Anolis sagrei: one gene and its partners. The protein of the gene in region 3 purifies or fractionates together with the protein of the main gene of each other region. This does not show direct contact. Links are inferred from orthologs where the notes say so. Each region holds a gene or a part of one and is shown on either strand. Other genes may lie near its edges.

Region 1 (7,552 bases), on a different chromosome or scaffold from region 3:
GGACAAGATACTTGGAGGAATGAGGCCCACCACGTCCATCCTAGACCCCTGCCCATCCTGGCTTCTGAGGGAGGCCAGAGGGGGATTGGCTGAGTGGGTAACGGTGGTGGTTAATGCCTCCCTTCGGGAAGGCAAGATTCCAGCGAGCCTAAAACAGGCTATTATAAAGCCGCTGTTGAAGAAACCATCACTGGACCCCACTAAATTTGACAACTTTCGGCCTGTTTCCAATCTTCCCTTTTTGGGCAAAGTCATGGAAAGCGTTGTGGCTTCACAACTCCAGGTACTCTTGAGAGACACGGATTATCTGGATCCGGCACAGTCTGGTTTCAGACCGGGACATGGTACCGAGACGGTCTTGGTCGCCTTAGTGGATGATCTGCGCCGGGAGCTAGACAGGGGGAGTGTGTCCCTGTTGGTGCTCCTGGACCTCTCAGCGGCCTTCGATACCGTCGACCACGGTATCCTTCTGGGGCGCCTTGCGGGAGTGGGTCTTGGGGGCACTGCTCTGCAGTGGCTCCAGTCATTCCTGGAGGGACGGACCCAGAAGGTGTTATTGGGGGACTCCTGTTCAACTCCACAGCCTTTGACCTGTGGGGTTCCTCAGGGTTCTATCCTGTCCCCCATGCTGTTTAATATCTACATGAAGCCGCTGGGTGAGATCATCCGGAGTTTCGGGGTGCGGTGTCATCTGTACACAGATGATGTCCAGCTCTGTCACTCCTTTCCACCTGCTACTAAGGAGGCTGTCGAAGTCCTGAACCGGTGCCTGGCCGCTGTAATGGTCTGGATGAGGGCGAACAAACTGAAATTAAATCCAGACAAGACAGAGGTACTCCTGGTCAGTCGCAAGGCCGAGCAGGGTATAGGGTTACAGCCTGTGCTGGATGGGGTCGCACTCCCCTTGAAGGCGCAGGTTCGCAGCTTGGGTGTAACCCTGGACTCATCGTTGAGCCTGGACCCCCAGGTTTCAGCGGTGACCAGGGGAGCATTTGCACAGCTTCGGCTTGTGCGCCATCTGCGCCCGTACCTTGGGAAGTCTGACTTGGCCACGGTGGTACATGCTCTGGTCACATCCCGTCTTGACTACTGCAACGCTCTCTACGTGGGGCTGCCCTTGAAGACGGCCCGGAAGCTGCAGCTAGTCCAGCGCGCGGCAGCCATGTTGTTAACAGGAGCAGGACGCAGGGAGCATACAACGCCCTTGTTGTTCCAGCTCCACTGGCTGCCGATTTGCTACCGGGCCCAATTTAAGGTGCTGGTGTTATCCTACAAAGCCCTAAACGGTTCCGGCCCAAAATACCTTGCGGACCGCATCTCGGCCTACGAGCCCACGAGGACCTTGAGATCATCTGGGGAGGCCCTTCTCTCGATCCCGCCTGCCTCACAGGCACGTCTGGCGGGGACGAGAGAGCGGGCCTTCTCGGTGGTGGCCCCCCGGCTGTGGAACTCCCTCCCTGCTAACATCAGACAGGCCCCCTCCCTCATGGCCTTTCGTAAGGGCCTGAAGACTTGGCTCTTCGAGCAGGCTTTCAACTAAATGCTACGTTACGGGTAATGACAACCGGATTGAACTATGACTACGAGATTGACTATGATTCCATAAATATGACGGAGCGGATTTTTAGTGTAAGTTAGATGTTATGTATTAGTGATGTTAATTGTTGTTCTGATTCCTTTGTAAAGTGTCCTTTTTGTACTGTACACCGCCGCGAGTCGCCCTAGGGCTGAGAGCGGCGGTTAACAAATGCAAGAAATAAATAAATAAATAAATAAATAGTTGCTGGGATTTATAGTTCACCTACAATCAAAGAGCATTCTGAACTCCACCAATGATGGAATTGAACCAAACTTCCCACACAGAACCCCCATGACCAAGAGAAAATACTGTCTCCTGATGGTCTTTGGCGACCCCTCTGACACCCTCCTCGCGACCCCCAGGATGAGAAACACTGCCACAGATCTCTTAGAAGCTTACCAAAAGGTCAAGGTTTTCCCTTGACATGAAGTCCAGTTGTGTCCGACTCTGGGGTGGGGTGCTCATTTCCATGTCTAAGCTGAAGAGCTGGCATTGTCCATAGACACCTCCAAGGTCATGTGGCTGGCATGACTGCATGGAGAAGCCTACTAGCCTCCCTATAATAATAATAATAATAATAATAATAATAATAACAACACTTTATTTGTACCCTGCTACCATCTCCCCAAGGGACTCGGTGCGGCTTACATGCCGAGCCCAAACACAACAATACAAGCAATAATCACAACAATACAAGCAATTAAAATAAAACATAAACATATAACATTATCAATAAGACTGTGCCAGTACAGCTGTACCAGAAGCTCCCATTTTGTTTGCTTTGCATTGAATGTTTGTTATAGTCCCAAGTTTCAGGGACTCTGCAGATAGGTGGCTTCTTTTGGCTGCAATCATAGGGCAAGCCACCTGTCAATTATTGTTAGGTTCCCTGGTCCTGCCCCTTTTTGAGTTTTGGAGGGAATAGGAGCCTTTTTGAGTCAGTTCTCACAGAGAAGCCTTTCGCACAGGACATAAAACGAAGAGCTCCTGTAGAAAGCTTCATCTTCTACGGCTTGGCCGGGGAGATATACAGCCTACAGCTTGGCCAGGGTTATACAGCCCACAGCTTGGCCGAGGATCATACAGCCTTTCAGCTCCTTTGCTGAGGGACTTCAGCCAGCCATCACAGCAACCTGAATTCCTTCTTTTCCCCTGGAAGTCTACAAAGCTCTGTTGGGGCAAGGGTCGCTTGTGGAAGCCAGATGCAGTTGGTACCGGGTGCAGGGGCTCCATGCCAACAGAGGCAAAGACAGACTGCCCAGATTGGAAGTTAAGGATTTCCCCATTAGTTATTATATAGTTATGAAGATAGTGCCTGTTCCCAGTGAACAAGATTGCAAGAGCCTATAGACTGTTATGAAAACTTTTAAGTACCTGTTTGTTTTTTATCAATAAATAACTTTGTTGGACTTACTTTAAGCCTCTACAGAACTTTGGGGGGGTCCAAGGGCCTTTAATCTGAGGCAGCCCCGGCGTCCCGTTGGGCACACAGAATTTATGTCCTGTCTACAGTCATATGCAGATGACACCACTCTGATGGCCGAAAGCGAGGAGGAGCTGAGGAGCCTTCTAATCAAGGTGAAAGAGGAAAGTGCAAAAGCTGGGTTGCAGCTAAACATTAAAAAAAACAAGATTATGGCAACAAGAATGATTGACAACTGGGAAATAGAGGGAGAAAATGTGGAGGCCGTGGCAGACTTTGTATTTCTAGATGCAAAGATGACTGCAGATGCAGACTGTGGCCAGGAAATCAGAAGACGCTTACTTCTTGGGAGGAGAGCAATGTCCAATCTCGATAAAATAGTGAAGAGTAGAGACATCAGACTGGCAACAAAGATCCGCCTAGTCAAAGCCATGGTATTCCCTGTAGTCACCTACGGATGTGAGAGCTGGACCTTAGGGAAGGCTGAGCGAAGGAAGATCGATGCTTTTGAGCTGTGGTGCTGGAGGAAAGTTCTGAGAGTGCCTTGGACTGCGAGAAGATCCAACCAGTCCATCCTCCAGGAAATAAAGCCCGGCTGCTCACTGGAGGGAAGGATACTAGAGACAAAGTTGAAGTACTTTGGCCACATCATGAGGAGACAGCAAAGCCTGGAGAAGACAATTATGCTGGGGAAGGTGGAAGGCAAAAGGAAGAGGGGCCGACCAAGGGCAAGATGGATGGATGGCATCCTTGAAGTGACTGGACTGACCTTGAAGGAGCTGGGGGTGGTGACGGCTGACAGGGAGCTCTGGCGTGGGCTGGTCCATGAGGTCACGAAGAGTTGGAGACGACTGAACGAATGAACAACAACAACTACAGTCATATGCACAGGCCCAGCGCGCGACAGCACAAAGACAACAAAAACCCGATGGCTGAACTGTAAAAGGATGCAATTTCGTGACGCGCCCACAAGATGGCGCCAAAACCCCACATTGGAGCCGCAAAAGGCGCTTCTACCAAGGGTGCTGTTCTCGTTGTGTCCACTGGAGGGAGGCAAAGAGAACGGCCAGTAGGGCATTGCAGTGCTGCTCAGGAAGAAGCTCATTGGGAGAACTAGCCATCTTCTGCGCTGCCTGGGGATAATGGGGACTGATGTCCAACACAAGCCCCTCAGGAGAAAGAATCAAAGGAGGCTGAGCCATCAGCCCTCCATTGTGACGGAACTAATAACCAATTATAACAGGCACGGGCAAACTTGGGCGTTCCAGGTGTTTTTGGACTTCAACTCCCACCATTCCTAACAGACTCAGGACCCTTCCTGAGGGCCTGAGTCTGTTAGGAATGGTGGGAGTTAGTCCAAAACACTTGGAAGGCCCAAGTTTGCAAGGCCTACCTTATGAAGAAGCTGATTGGCGGCTCGCGGTAGGGGCGGGGCCTGTAGCTGGCCTATCCCGAGCGCTGCTTTTTGCGCGCGCCTTGCTGAAGAAGGAGCGCATGCGCCAGGGGAGCCCGCTGATTTTCTTTTGCCGGTGGGACAAGGTTGCCATTGCTGCGTGTCGCGGACTTTCTTCATCGTCGCGGGATGTGGGCCGGGACCGGTGAGGGAGCCGAGAGGAGGGAAAGCGGGGCCGAAGCAAGGGAAGGCTGTGGGGGGGGAGGAGGAGGAGGAGGAGGGGGGGAGGGGGCTTCTTTGAACATGTCTGAACTCAAGGGAAATAGTTGAAGCCCTCAAAGGCTTGAGGCCTAGATGTCGGGAGGATGGAGTGCCCCTCCATTGAAGGGCCTGCTTGAGGTCTTAGGCCTGGTGGAGGGGTGGCTTCTCCTTGTGCTCTTTTCAGAGCAAAATACTGTGATTTGGGGCCTTCTGGGAATTTTAGTTTTTGAAAAGACTCTTACAGCAGGCATGTATAACTATTATACTATGATTCTATGACAGGCCTGGGCCAACTTGGGCCCTCCAGGTGCTTTGGACTTAATAGTAATAATAAAACTTTATATATATCCCCTCCCATCTCCCCAAGGGGACTCGGGGCGGCTTACATGAGGCCAAGCCCAACAACACATCAGTAAAACAAGACAGCAAGCAAATAAAACAGTACAATTAATATAACTCACATATAAGCAATAACACAAAAAATTAAAAATGTATGGCCATAAATAGATTAAAATTTTAAAATAAACACTACGCGAACAGAGGTAGGATGTCTCTAAGCAGAAGGGTTTTAAAGGATAATGTAGGAGATCAACCCAATGGGTAGTTAAGGTGCTTCTGAGGACATTTTGCTGGGAATTGGTCAGAGCAAGGCATCCTTTAAGCGGCTGAGAGGGAAAAGGAAGGGGCCTGAGGCTGTTAGGAATGGTGGGAGTTAAAGTCCAAAACACTTGGAGGGAGGGCACAAGTTTGCCCATGCCTGGTTTAGAGGGCATGCTTATCAAGTTTCCAAATGACACCAAATTAGGAGAGATAGCCAATACTCCAGAGGACAGGATCAGAATTCAAAATTACCATAACAGGCAGTGACAGACTTTGTATTTCTAGGTGCAAAGATTACTGCAGATGCAGACTGCAGCCAGGAAATCCAAAGACATTTACTTATTGGGAGGAGAGCAATGACCAATCTCGATAAAGTAGTGAAGAGTAAAGACATCACACTGGCAACAAAGATCCGCATAGTGAGGAAGACCGAGCGAAGGAAGATAGATGTTTTTGAACTGTGGTGCTGGAGGAAAGTCCTGAGAGTGTCTTGGACCCTGAGAAGACCCAACCAGTCCACACTTCAGGAAATAAAGCCCGACTACTCATTGGAGGGAATCTATTAGAGGCAGAGATGAAGTACTTTGATCACATTTAGTGCCCAGATCGAGGGAAGTCATGGTGCTTCTCTATTCTGCTTTGGTCAGACTTCACCTGGAATACTGTGTTCTGGTCACCACAGTTTAAAAGAGATATTGACAAGTTGGAAGGAGGGTGACTAAAATGATTGAAGATCTGGAGACCATGAATCCCTATGAGGAGTGTCTTGGAGAGCTAGGTATTTTAGCCTGCAGAAGAGAAGGTTATTTATTTCCTAATGGAGACTCAAAGTGCCTAAAATTACAAATCATACAATTAAAACCCACAGAAGCAATAAAATAGAAATAACCGGACTTTAAAAAAAAACATGGTAAAATCACTTAAAAACCTGTTACTCACGTAACATAATTGTAAGTTAATAAATAATTTTAGCATGTATATTTACATTTGTGTGTTGTTTTTCTTGCCTGCCACCTGAGATTTCTGTACAGAGGGCATGCTATAAATATTTCAATTAATAACTGAATTCCTTTGCCCAGCTCTTGATGTCGCAGGTGGAAGTGTGACATCTGGCCTGCACCCATCTGCCATCTGTCAGAATGTGCAGTTGGTACTGATGGATACACTTTAACCTGTTTCTGATCTATTTCCAATTTGCTCCCTACTCTTAAACCCCAGAGACTGAGAAGTATGAAAGTAACTTTGCAGCTTTGCCCTATTATTTTTATCTTTTGAATTTCAGGTGGCTATGACAGTGCATATGGGGGAGGAGGAGGATATACACAATCGCCTGGAGGCTTTGCATCCCCTTCTGCGACACAAGATGAAAAGAAATCGGTAGGTTTCAAGGTGCAGGTTATGACCTACAAAGCACCTATCTTTGTGACTGCATCTCCCCCATGAACTGGTGTGGGTCCTTAGATCCATTGGGGAAGCCCTCCACTTGCTCCCACCATTTTCACATGCACAGTTGGTGGCGATGAGGGAGAGGGCCTTCTTGGTGGTGACCCCACAACTTTGGAACACCCTCCCCAGGGAGATTAGGCAAGCCCCTACACTGTCCTCCTTTCATAGGGATCTGAAAACCTGGATGTTCCAACAAGCATTTGGGAATGACTAGTCTCTACTTATAAATGCCCAGTCCCTAGTTCTCCAGATAGTACTCTGTTCTCGGCACTTTTCCCAATCCCCGACCTTATGCTATGCTGTTTTGCACTATCCCATGCCCAGTCCTTTTTATAGCCTGATCAGGTCCATCTCAGTATTTTTAGTTATCGTTTTTTGTCATTCATTTTTTGAACGAGTCTTAATGCTGTTGTTTCATACCTTAATGTTTTACTTAATTGTGTTTTTATCTGATTGTTATGCTTTGCTATGTTTTATTTTAATCGTGTTTTTTGTTTTAATGGATTGTTTTGTTTTGATGTTTTGTGGACATTTTGTCCTATGTTTACGCCGCCCCAAGTCCCTTCGGGCAGATTGAGGTGGGGTATAAAAATAAAATTGTTGTTATTATTATTAGCTTGCATGAAAAAGCCAGGACTTCTTTTCGAAATGGGAATGGAGGTTTTCCTTTGAAATAGTTTTCTTTTTTTCTGAAAGCATGGCCTTATAAGATGTTGAGGCATAAAAATAATTCCTTTTACGGAATAACATGTTTGTGTTATTCCACTGAGCACAACACATTAGTATTATTTGTTTTCAGAGTTAATTGTTAAGGGTGACTGGAAGAAAACAGATGGGATAAATGTTTCTG
Region 2 (8,017 bases), on a different chromosome or scaffold from region 3:
CCTGCATCAATAGGAGCATAGTGTCTAGATCTAGGGAAGTAATGCTACCCCTCTATTCCGCTTTGGTTAGACCACACCTGGAATATTGTGTCCAATTCTGGGCACCACAATTCAAGAGAGATATTGACAAGCTGGAATGTGTCCAGAGGAGGGCAACTAAAATGATCAAGGGTCTGGAGAACAAGCCCTATGAGGAGCAGCTTAAGGAGCTGGGCATGTTTAGCCTGAAGAAGAGAAGGCTGAGAGGAGATATGATAGCCATGTATAAATATGTGAGAGGAAGCCACAGGGAGGAGGGAGCAAGCTTGTTTTCTGCTTCCTTGGAGACTAGGATGCGGAACAATGGCTTCAAACTACAGGAGAGGAGATGCCATCTGAACATGAGGAAGAACTTCCTGACTGTGAGAGCCATTCAGCAGTGGAACTCTCTGCCCCAGAGTGTGATGGAGGTTCCTTCTTTGGAAGCTTTTAAACAGAGGCTGGTCAGGGGTGATTTGAATGCAACATTCCTGCTTCTTGGCAGGGGGTTGGACTGGGTGGCCCATGAGGTCTCTTCTAACTCTTGATTCTATGATTCTATGATTAGCATTGAGTAGCCTTGCAGCTGCAAAGCCTAGTTGTTGCTGTCTGGGGACATCCTTTGTTTGGGAGGTGTTAACTGGCACTTGATTGCTTGCTGTCTGGAGTTCTCCTGTTTCTGAGTGGGATTCATTATTTACTGTCTTATTTATTTATAGTGTCAGAAGCGAATTGAGGGTACAGTTATAATATATTTAAAAATACAAAGTTGAAAACTTGGCATTAGGCTAAATGTCCTTTGACCAGAAGCTGGCCACTTGGAGTGCCTCAGGCGTCGTGAGAAGGTCCTTAATTGGGGACATTCTCACTTGCAGCATGATTCTGGTGTTTTTTTTAATATTGGTAGCTAGATTTTGTTCATTTTCATTGTATCCTCCCTTCTGTTGACATTTTCCACGTACTTGTGGATTTCAGTGGTTTCTCTGGGGACTCTGACATGGTAATTCTTAGAGTGGTCCAGCATTTCTGTGTTCTCAAATAATATCCTGTGTCCAGGTTGGTTCATCAAGTGTTCTGCTATAGCTGACTTCTCTGGTTGGAAAATATATATACAATTCTAGTGTATGTTTTGCATTTGATTCATACATTATATTCTGCACAGACTGAGCAAATCCAAATGCATGCTGTCAAAAACATTGCCAAATAAACACTCTGTGGGTGCATCTACACTGTCAAATTAATGCAGTTTAACATCACTTGAACTGCCACGGCTCATTGCTAAGGAACCATGGGATTTGTAGTTTAGTTATGCATCAGCACTCTTTGACAGAGAAGGTTAAAGAACTTATAAGAACTTCTATAGCTCTCATGACTCTACAGAACTGAGCCATGGCAGTTAAAGTGGGGTCAAACTGCATTAAATCTACAGTGTGGATGCACACTTTCTTCAGCTTTCCTAGATACCACAACGTAATATATATCGATGCACAAGAATGACAGAAAGTGGTGTGATGTGTGTTAAAGCAATTTATTTTCAGGATGCCGGCTGCTGAAAGCTGCTTTCCGTCTCAGACCCCATCTACACTGACCATTTAATGCAGTTTGAAACCAGCATTGAAGAAAATGGTTTAGCTGTGCCAATTATTACATAGGAATTCCTAGCATCAGTTTGAGAACTGGATGGTAATTACACAAACCACAGAGTACTGCTGCGTATTAAAGGCTTTCTCTCACAAGGTTTTGTGGGAGTTTGTTGTCTGGCCACCAAAGTTTGAATCTGTCTTCAAACTGTATTAAATGGTCAGTATAGATGGGGCCTCAGCACTCAGACATGAAGCAGGAAATCACCCTCCAGATTGGCTCTCCTCTGCCCATCAGTGTTTAATCATTCCCGTCCTCGTCTTCCCCCTCCACACAATGCGAGTTCAAGGCCTTCTTTTGATACTTTGTCTTGTATTTTCTGTATCGAAATTTCAGCAGAGGAAATGGAAAAGAAAAAGAAGAAAATCCACTTTTCTTTGTACAGATACGCTAATAATAATAATAAGATTCTGCCACTAATGTGATGACATGGGGGTTTAACTCTTGATGAGGCAGTACAGATTTGTATGGATGCAATCTGATCTGGGATATGTCCACACTGTAAGAATGAATGCAGTTTGATGCCGCTTGAACTGCCATATGGCTCAATGCTATGGAATCATGGACATTGTCATTTTGGAAGGCCTTTAGCCTTCCCTGCCAAAGAGCCAGGGTGCCTCACCAAATCCCAGAGTTTCATAGCATTGAGCCAGGGAAGCTAAAGTGGGGTCAAACTGCATTAATAACAAAGTGTGGACACACCCAATGATTCCAGCCCAGGGTTTGAACTTCTTGGAAGTCACACTCTCTCAGCCCCATAAAAACCTTACCTTAAAGTCGCCATTAAGTCAGGAAAGGCTTGAAGGTACACAACAGCAAGGCTAGTAAACACAGTAAGAGTCTATTTTGAAGTATGTCCCATTGAGGCCCCTTCCACATAGCTGAATACAATTCCACATTTTCTGCTTTGAAATCAAGATTTTCTGTCTTGATATTCTGGGTTATATGGCTGTGTGGAAGGGCCTTAAGGCCTTTTCCATACAGCTGAATAAAATCCAACATTATCTGTTTTGAACTGGAATATATGATAGTGTGGACTCAGATAACCCAGTTGAAAGCAGATATGGTGAGATTTTCTGCCTTGGTATTCTGTGTTACATAGCTGAGTGGAAAGGCCCTCAGTCCACTTCGCCATATATCTCCATCCGTGGTCATCTCGATCTACCCAGGAAAATCTCCTATACATACTGGGCCCTAGGGAAGTACACCTGGAAGCTACAAGGCGTAGAGCTTTTTCGAACTATGCTCCAATTCTGTGGAACTCATTGCCTCCATACATTAGAGCAATGTCGGAGTTGCGACCTTTTGTAAAGGCGCTCAAGACTTGGCTGTTTGGTTGTGCATTTAAGTAATCAGATCTAATTTGCCAAATAGTCACTGTTGAATGTTTTTATGTTGAATGTTTTTATATTGTGTAAATGCTATTTTAGATTGTAAGTCGCTCGGAGCACCTTGGTGGAGAGCGACTAATTAAGAAATAAAGTGAAGTGAAGTGAAGTGAAGTGAAGTTCAAAGCAGATATTATGGGATTTCCTTCCTTGATATTCTAGATTATATGGCTGTGTGTTAAAATTGCTGGAAGAAACATTAACAACCTTAGATATGCAAATGATACCACTTTGATGGCCAAAAGTGAGGAGAAACTGAGGAGCTTTCTAATCAAGGTGAAAGAAGAAAGTGCAAAAGCTGAGTTGCAGTTAAATATATAGGAAAACAAGATTATGGCAACAAGAATGATTGATAACTGGCAAATAGAGGGAGAAAACGTGGAGGCCGTGACAGACTTTGTATTTCTAGGTGCAAAGATTACTGCAGATGCACACTGTGGCCAGGAAATCAGAAGACGCTTACTTCTTGGGAGGAGAGCAATGTCCAATCTCGATAAAATAGTAAAGAGTAGAGACATCACACTGGCAACAAAGATCCACCTAGTCAAAGCCATGGTATTCCCTGTAGTAACCTACGGATGTGAGAGCTGGACCTTAGGGAAGGCTGAGCGAAGGAAGATAGATGCTTTGAACTGTGGTGCTGGAGGAAAGTTCTGAGAGTGCCTTGGACTGCGAAAAGATCAAACTAGTCCATACTTCAGGAAATAAAGCCCGACTGCGCATTGGAGGGAAGGATAGTAGAGGCAAAGATGAAATACTCTGACCACATTATGAGAAGAAAGGAAAGCTTAGAGAAGACAATGATGCTGGGGAAAATGGAAGGAAAAAGGAAGAGGGGCCGACTAAGGACAAGACGGAGCGATCATATCTAGAAGTGACTGGATTGACCTTGAAGAAGCTGGGGGTGGTGACGGCCAACAGGGAACTCTGGTGCGGGCTGGTTCATGAGGTCACAAAGAGTCGAAAGCAACTGAACGAATAAACAACAGTGGCTGTGTGGAAGGGCCCTGAGTCCACACTGCCATATATCTCAGTTCGAAGCAGATATTGTGGGATTTCCTTCCTTGATTTTCTGGATATTTTTTTGTCGTGTCAGGAGTGACTTGAGAAACTGCAAGTCGTTTCTGGTGTGAGAGAATTGGCCGTCTGCAAGGATGTTGCACAGGGGACGCCCAGATGATTTGATGTTTTTATCATCCTTGTGAGAGGCTTCTCTCATGTCCCCGCATGAGGAGATGGAGCTGATAGAGGGAGCTCATCCACCTCTCCCCAGATTCGAACCTGCGACCTGTCGGTCTTCAGTCCTGCCAGCACAGGGGTTTTACCCACTGCGCCACCGGGTGCTTTGGTGCTATATTCTGGATTATACGGCTGTGTGGAAAGGCTCTGAGTCCACACTGCCATATATCTCAGTTCGAAGCAGATATTGTGGGATTTCCTTCCTTGATATTCTGGATTATGTGGTTGTGTGGAAAGGCCCTGAGTCCACACTGCCATATATCTCAGTTCAAAGCAGATACTATGGGATTTCCTGCCTTGATATTCTGGATTGTGTGGCTGTGTGGAAAGGTCCTGAGTCCACACTGCCATATATCTCAGTTCAAAGTAGATATGGGATTTCCTGCCTTGATATTCTGTTTATATGGCTGTTTGGAAGGGTCCTGGATTCAATAGCACCTAAACTGCAGAACAGAGGGACACTGTTATAGCTCTATGTTCTACTGTAGTTGCCACGGCAACATTCTGTGGCATTCTGGGTTTGGTAGTTCAGTGAGACCCGAAACCTCTTTGGCTGAGCGGGCTAACTATCCCTCGCTTAAACTCAAAATCCCAGCGTCCCACGCGGTGTTGCCATGGCGATGAAAGCGGAAACTAGTCCTGTCACAGCTTAAAGGGATAGAAGAGGACCTGCAATTGAATATGTTGTTACAATTTAGTCAATGAGTGAGATAACGCGATAGTTGAAACAGAACTTCCTCTATTAATATTAATTTAAAAGAAGGCGGCATCGTGTTTTCATAGCAATCTCTTTTGAAATTGGTCGTGAGAGAGAGAGAAAGAGAGAGGGAGGGGGAAGGGCAAAACGCCTTTGTGGGAAGTTTGGCGCCTGTCAGCTCCCGTCCAGAGGGCGGCTTCCCTGCCTAGAAGAGGAAAAGGAGGCGGGAAACGGCACTGAGTCGAAGTGAGGATGGGCGACCAGGGGCTGGAGATGGCCTCCGTGATTCCTGCCCTCCGGGAACTGGGCAGGTAAGCCCCAAACCCTCCAAAACCACCCAAAGAACAGTAGCAACAGTTGCACCTTTGCTGTTGGGTGGTTCAGGGTACACAGTGTGGAAAAATAGAACATTATATGTGACACAGCTGTGGAGGCTTTTAAACAGAGGCTGGATGACCATCTGTCGGGGGTGCTTTGAATACAGTTTTCCTGCTTCTTGGCAGGAGGTTGGACGGGATGGCCCATGAGGTCTCTTCCAACTTTATGATTCTATGGTTTTTGTTCCTGGGTTATAAATGTAATTTCCTAATTCCTAATCAGGAAAACATGGGGAAGCTGCTTAAAATGCAAAAACCATCTCTTTATCTATATAAATAAAAATGTAATGTTGCTTTGTGGGATTAACATAACTCAAAAACCACTGGACGAATTGCTGCCAAATTTGGCCACAAGACACCTACTAACCCAAGGAGTGAGCAACACTAAAAAAATTGATTTTGTCATTTGGGAGTTGTAATTGCTGGGATTTATAGTTCACCTACAATCAAAGAGCATTCCGAACTCCACCAATGATGGAATTGAACCAAACAAGGCATAGAGGACTCCCATAACCATCAGAAAACACTAGAAGGGTTTGTGGGCATTGACCTTGAGTTTGGGAGTTGTAGTTCACCTACATCCAGAGAGCACTGTGGACTAAAACAATGAAGGATCTGGACCAAACTTGGCACGGATATTCCATGTGCCCAAGTAGGAACACAGATGGAGTTTGGGAGAAATAGACTGTGACATTTGGGAGTTGTAGTTACTGGGATTTATAGTTCACCTACAATCAAAGCATTTTGAACCCCACCAACGATAGAATTGGGCCAAACTTACCTCACAGAATCCCCATGACCAACAGAAAATATTTAAGGCCATTCAGTCCAACTCCCTTCACCAGAGCAAGAAAACGTTTTCAAAGCCCTCCTGACAAAGAGCCATCTAGCCATAGATATAGATAGATAGATATGATTCACACACATATAGTATCATAGATTTCAAAGAGACTCCTAAAAAAGGAAAATTATATGTTGTATGATCCAGAGTAGGCAAAACAGACAATCTCCACATCAACACTGACAAAGAAACAGCAAGAAATACTGTTTACCCACAAGTATAAAAAATTACATATATTAGAAACCAACACTTCCTCATTACTTTATTATCCAGATCACCAGACTGAGCCACAGCAACGCATGACAGGGAATGGCTAGTTTACTATATTTATCTACCGCCCCTCTCAGGGAAGTTTACAATCAGCATCAAAAACATAAAATACGATTTAATCAATTAGCTTAAATATAAAACCAAATAAAACAGTCAATGTCAACAAAAACATATATCAATTAGAGTCTCCTTGTTTTTGCGGGACATACTGCAGCACATCTTGCTAGAGTTTTTAAAATGAATATCTCATAGAGTCTCAACCAATGCAACATAGTTTGTGGCAGCCACAAAAATGAAGTTTCTGGAGTATAGCGACAACTTTCAACAGGCGTGGGCAAACTTGGGTCCTCCAAGTTTGTTGACCTTCAACTCCCACAATTCCTAACAGCCTCAGACCCCTTCCTTTCTCCCTCAACTGCTTAATTAAGGAATTGTGGGAGTTGAAGTCCAAAACACCTGGAGGGCCCAAGTTTGCCCATGCCTGACTTTCAAAGTAAGTAGCACACAATTAAACAAGAAATAATGCTTTTAAACCAGAAACTGATTTTTTTTCTATTTTGTTACATAGTGTTGTTATTGTTTATTTATACCCCACTTTTTCTCTCCGCAAAAGAGACTCCCCTTAGCTCAGTATTGGGGTCACGATTTCTAGATGCCACTTAGATATGTACACAAATCTGTTTGCGACAACATATGGTGTTTTACTGTGTAGAAAATGCTTCAGCCTTGCTTCACGAAAAAGGAAAATTTGTCTCCTTAGCAAGCCTTGCAAATCCTGTAAATGTTCGGTATTTATGCTTGTTTTACATACTTGAGGGTATGTTGTTGCTGCTTTTATTTGTATCCTGCTTATCTCACTAAAAAAGAGACCCAAAGTGTCTAACATTAAACGCAATACAATGTATAATTTAAAACATAGAAAGCATACAAACATTAAAATACAATTAAACATTGTAACTATTAAAATAGTTAAAACCATTAGAACCTATTCACATAATATTTCCATTTGGCTATTTGAGGGAAAAGGCAGTTGGAAGCATAGCTGAAGTGGCATTCCCATCTGTAAGAAAGGTTTCTAAGCAAGACGCACAACAACAGTATTAAAACAATTATGCATAACCTACAGATGAAAAGTTGCTTCATAATGTGCTGCTATCTGTTAGCCAGTATATGTGCATGGTTGTGATTGATGAAAATCAAATTGTAAAGCTGCAAACGATGAAATGTAAATGGTCATTTACAAATTAATGCTGATGACATAGACATCCCCACTGCATTACTGGTAATGTAGTGGGGATGTGAAGTGAAACCCATAGTTTTAATTAAAGCCACAATTGATGGAAATGAATGGCTAGATAACTTGTGACATTCAGAGTAACATATGAAAGTAGAGAGACAATGCTAATTGTTAAATACATTAATTCCAGTGCCACCCCAGAGGAATACAATACTGTTGTGCAGAAACCAAGACAAATTCTCTGTCAGTTCATTGATCGAATTCTAGTGGATGTAGATGTTGGTAAGTAAAACAAAACTGTTAAAGAGG
Region 3 (7,918 bases):
TAACTATGCTAGTGAGCCAAGGACCAGCTTTTTCTTCAGCTTCTGCAGATATGCAATAGCAGCCAAACACTTCTGGGCTTAGTAATACTCATCTTCTCAGCCACTGCATGAATACACACTCTCTCTAGCTGCATTTGCGTTATGGAGAGGAACCAGCAGCAACAATTGCTACTGCCACCTGGACAACAAGTTATGGCCTTATAGTTGATCTACAAGATTCCAGACAAAAATAACACTTTTTACTTAGTAAATACAAATGTGCAAATTCCAGAAAAATCAATCTGGGAAGACTTGTCTAATTTAGGGCACCACAGATAAAATGGTCCAATATGGGAAGCCATCACACTACCAGGGATGGGAAATCCAGAGCAAGGCATCCACCAATGGCCTTAACAAGAGACTGTCTTGTTATTCTAACAAGATAATCTAAATCCAAACAATTAAACCCTTTTACTCCACAACTCAAAGTTTAGATTACACAAAGGAGGAGTTTAAATAAAAACAACTGCAATGAGTAGTTACCCAGCTTATATGCAATTGGTGACTGAGGATCCCAGAAGATCTCTTGCTGCACATCGGTTTCATTTGCAGGAGAACTGAACGTTGGCAAGCGTGACCTGCCTGCTCGTGTTCTTTTGGGAGTCTTATATGAGTTAGTTTCTGTGTGATAGACATGCAAAAAGGTACTTTAGTAAAAATAATAAAAACCAAGCAATATTCTTGAATAAAATGAGTAACATTGCATGGACATCTGTACTCTTCTGATGATGAACATGAGCAAACAGCAATAGGTACCATATATATTTTTACGAGTCAAGGACAGTTTGTGGCCTCCCAAAAGTGGATTTTCATGACCTGTAGACAAGTTTGAGGGTTATTCCACAGGCCAGCACTGCCTCAGGAGGGTAGCTGTATTGAGAAAATGGTTAATGTAAGTTCTGCTAGAAGTCAACTTCATGGCTTACCCTCTCTCCCTAATTTTCACACATAAATCACCTGGCAATAAAAAGCATAGCCACTTTAACAATGCATTTGAACTGATTTTTTTTGGTTCCTCCTCTGTTCAGCTGTTTCAATTCTAGTTTGCAATGCTGAGCACTTTGTAACTAAAAACATGCATCTCAGTTTCCTTGTTTCGTACTCCACTTTGCCTGTGGTATTGCAACTTCTAAAACACAGGGCATGGGGAGTATTGTTTCTTGTTACATCCAGATCTAGGAGTACAATATGGTTAAAGAGGGGAATAAAAATGTTTCATGTAAGTTATGCCTTTTTCTCCAGCCCACTTGAGTCAATAATATGGATGTCATCACTTCATATCAATCCCAAGGTAACTGTTCCCTGCAGTCATCAATGAACATTTCAGGGAAAGATCCACTCTGGGGTAACAATGCCTTATCCCAGCTCTGTCTAACCATTGTATAACTGTGGATTAAATCCTATGAAATGCATGAGGTTGCCATAAAATGACAGGCAACTTGGACACACATGCATTACATGTCCCTTAAAGTATTTCAGATTGCAGTTCCTATACTGCCTGACCACTGGCCATACTATGTGGGGGTGACTCAAAACTACCAGTTTATTGTGTAGTAAGCCATTAATGACGCGGAGTAACACCTTCAAGTGGGCCTGGTATGCCCCAACTGTGGATAACATAATCATCAATTTTGATTTACCTTATCTGAAAGCATTTTATGTTTTTGGCATTTCTGTGCTACAAGGGGAGTTGATCCTGAATAGATTTGTTTAGGATATCACTTTGCCTAATTTTGCATAAACTTTGCCTAATTCAGCCAGTAAGAACCAAGTTCTCAGGGCCTTTCCATACAGCCCTATAACACAGAATATCAAGACAGAAAATTCCACATTATCTGAATGTGGACTAACCCAGTTCAAAGCAGATATTGTGGGATTTTCGGCCTTGATATTCTGGGATACAGGGCTGTGTGGAAGGGCCCTGGGTTATCTCACACTACTATACAATCCTGTTCAATGTGGATTTTATACACATTGAAGGGGCCTGAGAGAAAATATCCATACTTCAAGAACAGTTCCCGTTCAAAGCAGAAAATGTGGGATTTTATTCAGCTGTGTGGAAGAGGCCTCATTTCTGCATAAAGAAAAAAAGTCTATCCTTTCTGTCTGCTTGTATGGATGCGGCATATTATTAGGCACGACTCAGCACAGATTATAATATACTTATGCCACACAGAAAATGAGGTTTTTATAATAATTTCATTCATTATCATGAGTCCCTACAGGGGAAAATAAAGTATTATTATTATAATTTTTGAGGCACCATGGGACACTTCCTTTTTTGCAGTGGAAGGACACCTGGAAGCTACAGCAAAAAGCGAGTACAGAAGGAAAAGAGGCAAGCAAAGGATCCTGCTCAGGATCAAAATATCAGAAAAGGGTCTTTTCTTAAACTGGGAGAGGCAAGCTGTTTCTATGGATTCCAGTCTAAGCAACCAAGGGGCCTTCCCCAGACGTTTTGGGAATCACAACTTCCATCAGTTTCAAGCAGTGGTGGGGGCTAATGGAGGTTGTAACCCCAAACGACTTCCTTTTCTTGGGAAGGAGCTCCTTGTTTCTAGTGCAACTTTTGCAGAGTCCAATTCTCAGCTTTACTGCAAAACATGCCACTAGTTGTTGTTTTTCTCGTGAGGGGCGGAGAAACAACTCTCATCCGCTCCAGCTTGCAATCAGGGAAGATAGGCACTGTAACCAAAGGCAGGCCACTGCCATGGGAGGGCCCTCCCTTGCTCCCAGGGCAGCTTAGGCACCGAGGGGGGAATGTGCGATTGGGAGGCAGGGGCGAGTACCTGGAGGGCCCCGGGGGGAGGCGGGGGCCTCTCCCGCCGCTTCGCCTCCCTTGGCTTCCTGGGCACCCTCGGCCGCAGTCTTTCGCCTGCTCCTCCTCCTCATCGCGGGACTCTTGAGGCGAAGCTCCTCCACGTTTGTCGCCGCCGCCGCCGCCCGCCGTTTACTCGCCATTAGGAAAATACAAAACTCCCGCGGCGGCGGCGGCGGCAACTCCCCACACGCTCATCACACCGCCATCTTGGCCCGAGCTCGGAGGCTGCCGCTGATTGGCTGGAGCCGACGCTGCGGAGGCGAAGATTGGTTCAGCTATTTTGAGAAGGGGCGGGTGGGAGAGGAGGCTAGCCCAATCTGGTTGGAGAGGCCGGGAATGGCAAAAGGAGGCGATTCACACAGAAACTGGCAAATGGATGGAGGGTTGCTAGTGTTCAGTGACTAAAGGCGCTTTGTAATCTTTTGATGCCAGCCAGGGCCCTGCTCTAAACTGGGTTATAAAGCAGTGTGGACTCAGATAACTAAGGGCCCCTCCACATAGCCAAATAACTCAGAATATCAAGGCAGAAAATCTTACAATATCTGCTTTGAACTGGGTTATCTGAGTCCACACTGCCATATATTCCAGTTCAAAGCAAATAAAGTGGGATTTTATTCAGCCTGCGTGGAAGAGGCCTCAAGGCCTTCCGCACAGCCCTGTATCCCAGAATATCAAGGCAGAAAATCCCACAACATCTGCTTTGAACTGGGTTATCTGAGTCCACACACAGATAATGTGGGATTTTCTGCCTTGATATTCTGGGATATAGGTCTGCATGGAAGGGCCCTCAATTCAAAGCAGATATTGTGGATTACCTGACTTGATAATCTGGGCTGTATAGCTGAATGGAAGAGCCCCCAGTTCAAAGCAGGTATTATATGGCTGTGTGGCAGGGCCCTCAGTGGTCCCCAAATGTTGTTCCTCCCAGGCTTTTGGACTTCAACTCCCAAAATTCCTAACCATTAGACATGCTGGGTGGGGCTTCTGGGAGTTGAAGTCCAAAACCATTGATCTCAAAAAGATTCTATGGACATTTGTTTTGTGGGTTACAAATCGTTTATGATTTAAAGCTCTTCTACACAGTCATATAATCCAGAATATCAAGGCAGATAATCCACATAATCTGTTTTGAACTGGATTATCTGACTTTACACTGCCATATAATCCAGTTCAAAGCAGATAATTTGGATTATATATGGCGGTGTAGAAGGGGTCTCATAGTGACCCTAAGTTTCATGGAGCTGGCTAGATTTGTTTGCCTCTTCTTTTCTCTGAGGCTGAGAGCGCGAGACCTGCCCAAGAGCACCCTCAGTTTCCATAGGTTGGGCCCTGTGAAATAGCAGTATAACCGTTTGTGAAAGCATGGGGTACCTCTACACAGTAAAATCAATGCAGTTTGACACCTCTTTAACTGCCTGGATTAACTGCTATGGAGTATTAGGAGTTGCAGTTTGACAAGGTCTTTAGCCTTCTCTGCCAAAAAGCGAAGGTGTCTCAAACTACAACTCCCAATATTCCATAGCACTGAACCACAATAATTCAAGTTATGTCAAACTGCATCAATTTTGCAGTGTAGCTGCAACCTGAGATTAAGGGCCCCTCCACATATTTTGGACTATAGCTCCCAGAAGCCACTGGTAGCAGAGGACGAGGGAACCTGCAAGCAGAGAAGGCCAACTATCTGGTGATGTAGTGATTTGAAGGCTGGATTGTGGTACGGGGGTTAAGGGTGGGTTTGAATCACTGCTCAGCCGTGGAAACCCACTGGGTGGCCTTGAGCAAGTCACATTCTCTCAGCTTCAGAAGGAGGCAAATCTCTTTTGAACAAATTTTGCCAAGAAGACCCAATCAAAGGTTTTGCTTGAGGTTCGAAATGGCTTGCAGGCACAAAACTGATAGAGTTGTCAACGTAAGATTTGGTGGGGTCTCCATGGACAGACAGCATACTTCTGAAAACCAAACATGCAACTGGAATGGAGTAGCCTTCATATTTTTACTTCTCTATTTCCCAGAAATTTCTCAGGCCCCATCTACACTGCCATATAACACATTTTTGATATATATGGCAGTGTAGATAAGGCCTGACAATGATAATTCTTTAGTAGTAAGGCTTTTGCCCCTCTCTTTTACAAGACCCACGAGCATCTTCTGCCGCCTGCCCAACTTCAAACAGTTTAGCTCAGCTGAGTTGCACCTGTTTTTTCTGTCTTAAGTCATAAGCACCTGCCTTGAATGCATTTCTAACCAATATGTCTGGGGATGCACACCTGAGTGTGTTTATCCAGGAAGTCATTCCCACCATGATTATTTTGGGGCCGATAGCTACTGAATTGAATTGTTTTAAGTATGCCCAAATCCCCACAAGGTTATAGTTCTGAAGTTTATTCCTGTGCATTATTATGATTCAGAAGTTAAGGCCAGGATAAGCAAGCTGACTCCCAAATAAGTGCATATGAGGACTACTTTCTTAGCTGTTCTCCACTTAAATTGCTCAGCTGCTTTCAATATACACATTGACCCTTCTCTAATCATTATATATGGAAAACATATGATTTCATTTGGGGTTGTGGGAGGGAGGAACAGGCACATAAGAGGCCAAATAAAGGCAGCCCTCTGTACCACGGATTCAAACATCCATGCTTGAAAACGTTCCAAAATGGCTTGATTTTTTCCATTTTATATAAGGTCATTTTACTATTATTATTTATTACTATTAACTTTATTTATACCCCACCTTGCTCCTTGAGGGGACTCAAGGCAACTAACAATCTCGCACTTAGTCAAGTTTAAAAAGCACAATTCAAAAGTTAAAAAAACGATTAAATGGTGACAGTGTGATCAAAACAGGTTACAATACATTTTCAGTACTTATGACTATGAGCTGCTCCTTGCCAATCTCTCCCCCCCCTCCCCCGTTTAGTTTTGCCTGAAGGCATATTTGTACTCAGGATTTTTTCTTACAACTGGGACTCAAGATGGCTTACAATTTAAAAACAAATATAAAAACACTAAAAATATTCAAAATGGCCATTAAAATATACAACCAGTGAAAACCATTTTACAACAAAGAATCAAAGCAAATAATAGAAGTTACACATACCACTTTTTTTTTTAAAAAAACCCTCATCCTATAAAATAGTCAGGAATTAGATTTGCTACCCATTACTCTGATCAACTAATGTAGCACTATTACTGTAGTTACGGTTTCTAATAGAAGAACCAGTGTGGTATAGTGGTTTCAGCATTGGACTGTGATTCTGGAGACCAGGGTATGAAACTGCTCAGGCACAGAAACCCATTCAGTGATCTTGGGCAGGTCACATTCTCTCAGCCTCACAGGAAGGCAATGACAAACCTTTTCTGAATCAATCTTACCAAGAAAATCCTGTGATAAGCATGTTTTATGGTTGCACGAGAGCTGAAATGACTTGGACATACAACATCATCATTAGGAAAGATTATTTGGTTTCCCTGACCATTCTAATTCAAAGTAGAGTAACCTGCTTGGAATCCCCCTTTCTTAGCCACACAATGCTGTGCAGTGCATTTCAATGCTTTGGAGCAGCACACAAACTCAACCATTCAATTCCCCATTGCCCTGCATCTCTTCTCATTATTGCCCTGTGTCTCTTGCCTGAGCACTGAGAATACTCTCTTCTCAAAACCTGCTCAGAACAAGCCAACAAAGGCCAAGTGTATGTTCTGTCCTGTTATTTTGGAGAAGCCAGCTTTGCAAAGCAGCCCTCACAATGACTTACTTTTTCTGGCAGTGGCAGCAGTCCCTTTCATTTGAGCAGATGGAAGAAGGTGAACAAGTAAATCTAAAACAGGCTAGTTTTTCCTAAATAAAAATAAATACATCCAGTGAGCCTGGTTCTTCAGGTAGCTCATTTCCCCATTTCCTTGCTAGATGTTCTGCTGCAGCACAAGGCAGCCACCCATGTGACTCTTCCTCCTCTACATCCCATTGGCTGAATCGAAACACACTCCAAGGAATGAGTTGTGGGGGACACTTACATTGTAGAATTAATCCAGTTTGACCCCACTTTAACCACTGTGGCTCAGTGCTATAGAATCACGAGAGTTGTAGTTTTGCAAGGCCTTTAGTCTTCTCTGCTAAAGCGTGCTGGTGCCTCTCCAAACTACAACTCCCAGGATTCCATAGTATTGTGCCATGACTGTTAAAGTGGTGTTGAACTGCATTCATTCTACAGGATTGATGCAGCCTGTGTTGACCTTGAATTGCCAAGTTATAATTATGCTGAAAAGTGGTGCATTGTAGCCATGGCTGTTAGCAGGCAAAAAAATGACACCGTGCAAGCCGTGCAGTAACTTTTGGGAGTGTTTTTTCCCCTAAGCTTTATGTTGTTGTGGAGGGCCAAATATACTTTTGTGCTAAGCCAGAGAGATGGCTGCTCAGTCTAAAACCACTTTGCATACAAATATGTTAAACTTTCTCTTCTCCAAGCACCACTTATATTGAAATATTTCAGGAATTTCTTGAGACTTTAGCCAGTGCCTTGCGATCTGTCTGGAGAAGACTTATTCCCATTGGTACAAACATGGTGTTCTGGGGGTGAGTGAGAAGCACCATAAATTTGCTAGAATAAAGTCCACAGAATGTGGATTTCATTTGCACCAGTCCTGAGCAGCCGTAGGTGTTTTTCTTCATACTGAAACTATCAAAAAGGAAAACAATAACAGCAAGAATCCATGGAAAAATATATATATAATATATATATATATATATATATATATATATATATATATATATATCTTCTGCCCTGGTTGGTAAAAATAGCAAAGTTTTACCAACAACAACATTTTATTATAGTCCAGAGGCCCTTATTGCTCAATAAGTGTGCATAATATCAAGGTTAATAAGATTAAAAACACCTGACTGATTGAACACTCGGATGAAATTAGTGACAGTTAAAACTGGTTAAAATATGAGATTAAAACCGAAGCCATATCAGATGGCTATGAGCATAGGTAAAAGACTACAAAAAGGTACCAGGTATATTTCAGGTATAATTCTCCAATCCTGGCTGCCTCTGA

What was found.
Region 1: the proteins of ETAA1 (region 3) and RPA2 purify together in Homo sapiens (affinity purification with western blotting; 4 studies listed by BioGRID, with this or other methods). This does not show direct contact. The link is inferred for Anolis sagrei from reciprocal best matches to the Homo sapiens genes ETAA1 and RPA2.
Region 2: the proteins of ETAA1 (region 3) and ATR purify together in Homo sapiens (affinity purification with western blotting; 3 studies listed by BioGRID, with this or other methods). This does not show direct contact. The link is inferred for Anolis sagrei from reciprocal best matches to the Homo sapiens genes ETAA1 and ATR.

Annotation. Positions count from the first base shown.
Region 1 is NC_090034.1:86,980,529-86,988,080, reverse strand, and holds the start of RPA2 (replication protein A 32 kDa subunit), read left to right. Parts: upstream 1-4,495; 5' UTR 4,496-4,584; coding exon 4,585-4,600; intron 4,601-6,538; coding exon 6,539-6,633; intron 6,634-7,552. UniProt on the Homo sapiens protein: As part of the heterotrimeric replication protein A complex (RPA/RP-A), binds and stabilizes single-stranded DNA intermediates that form during DNA replication or upon DNA stress.
Region 2 is NC_090023.1:237,163,619-237,171,635, reverse strand, and holds the start of ATR (serine/threonine-protein kinase ATR), read left to right. Parts: upstream 1-4,946; 5' UTR 4,947-5,235; coding exon 5,236-5,294; intron 5,295-7,898; coding exon 7,899-7,990; intron 7,991-8,017. UniProt on the Homo sapiens protein: Serine/threonine protein kinase which activates checkpoint signaling upon genotoxic stresses such as ionizing radiation (IR), ultraviolet light (UV), or DNA replication stalling, thereby acting as a DNA damage sensor.
Region 3 is NC_090022.1:136,353,014-136,360,931, reverse strand, and holds the start of ETAA1 (ewing's tumor-associated antigen 1), read right to left. Parts: upstream 3,081-7,918; 5' UTR 3,001-3,080; coding exon 2,829-3,000; intron 661-2,828; coding exon 523-660; intron 1-522. UniProt on the Homo sapiens protein: Replication stress response protein that accumulates at DNA damage sites and promotes replication fork progression and integrity.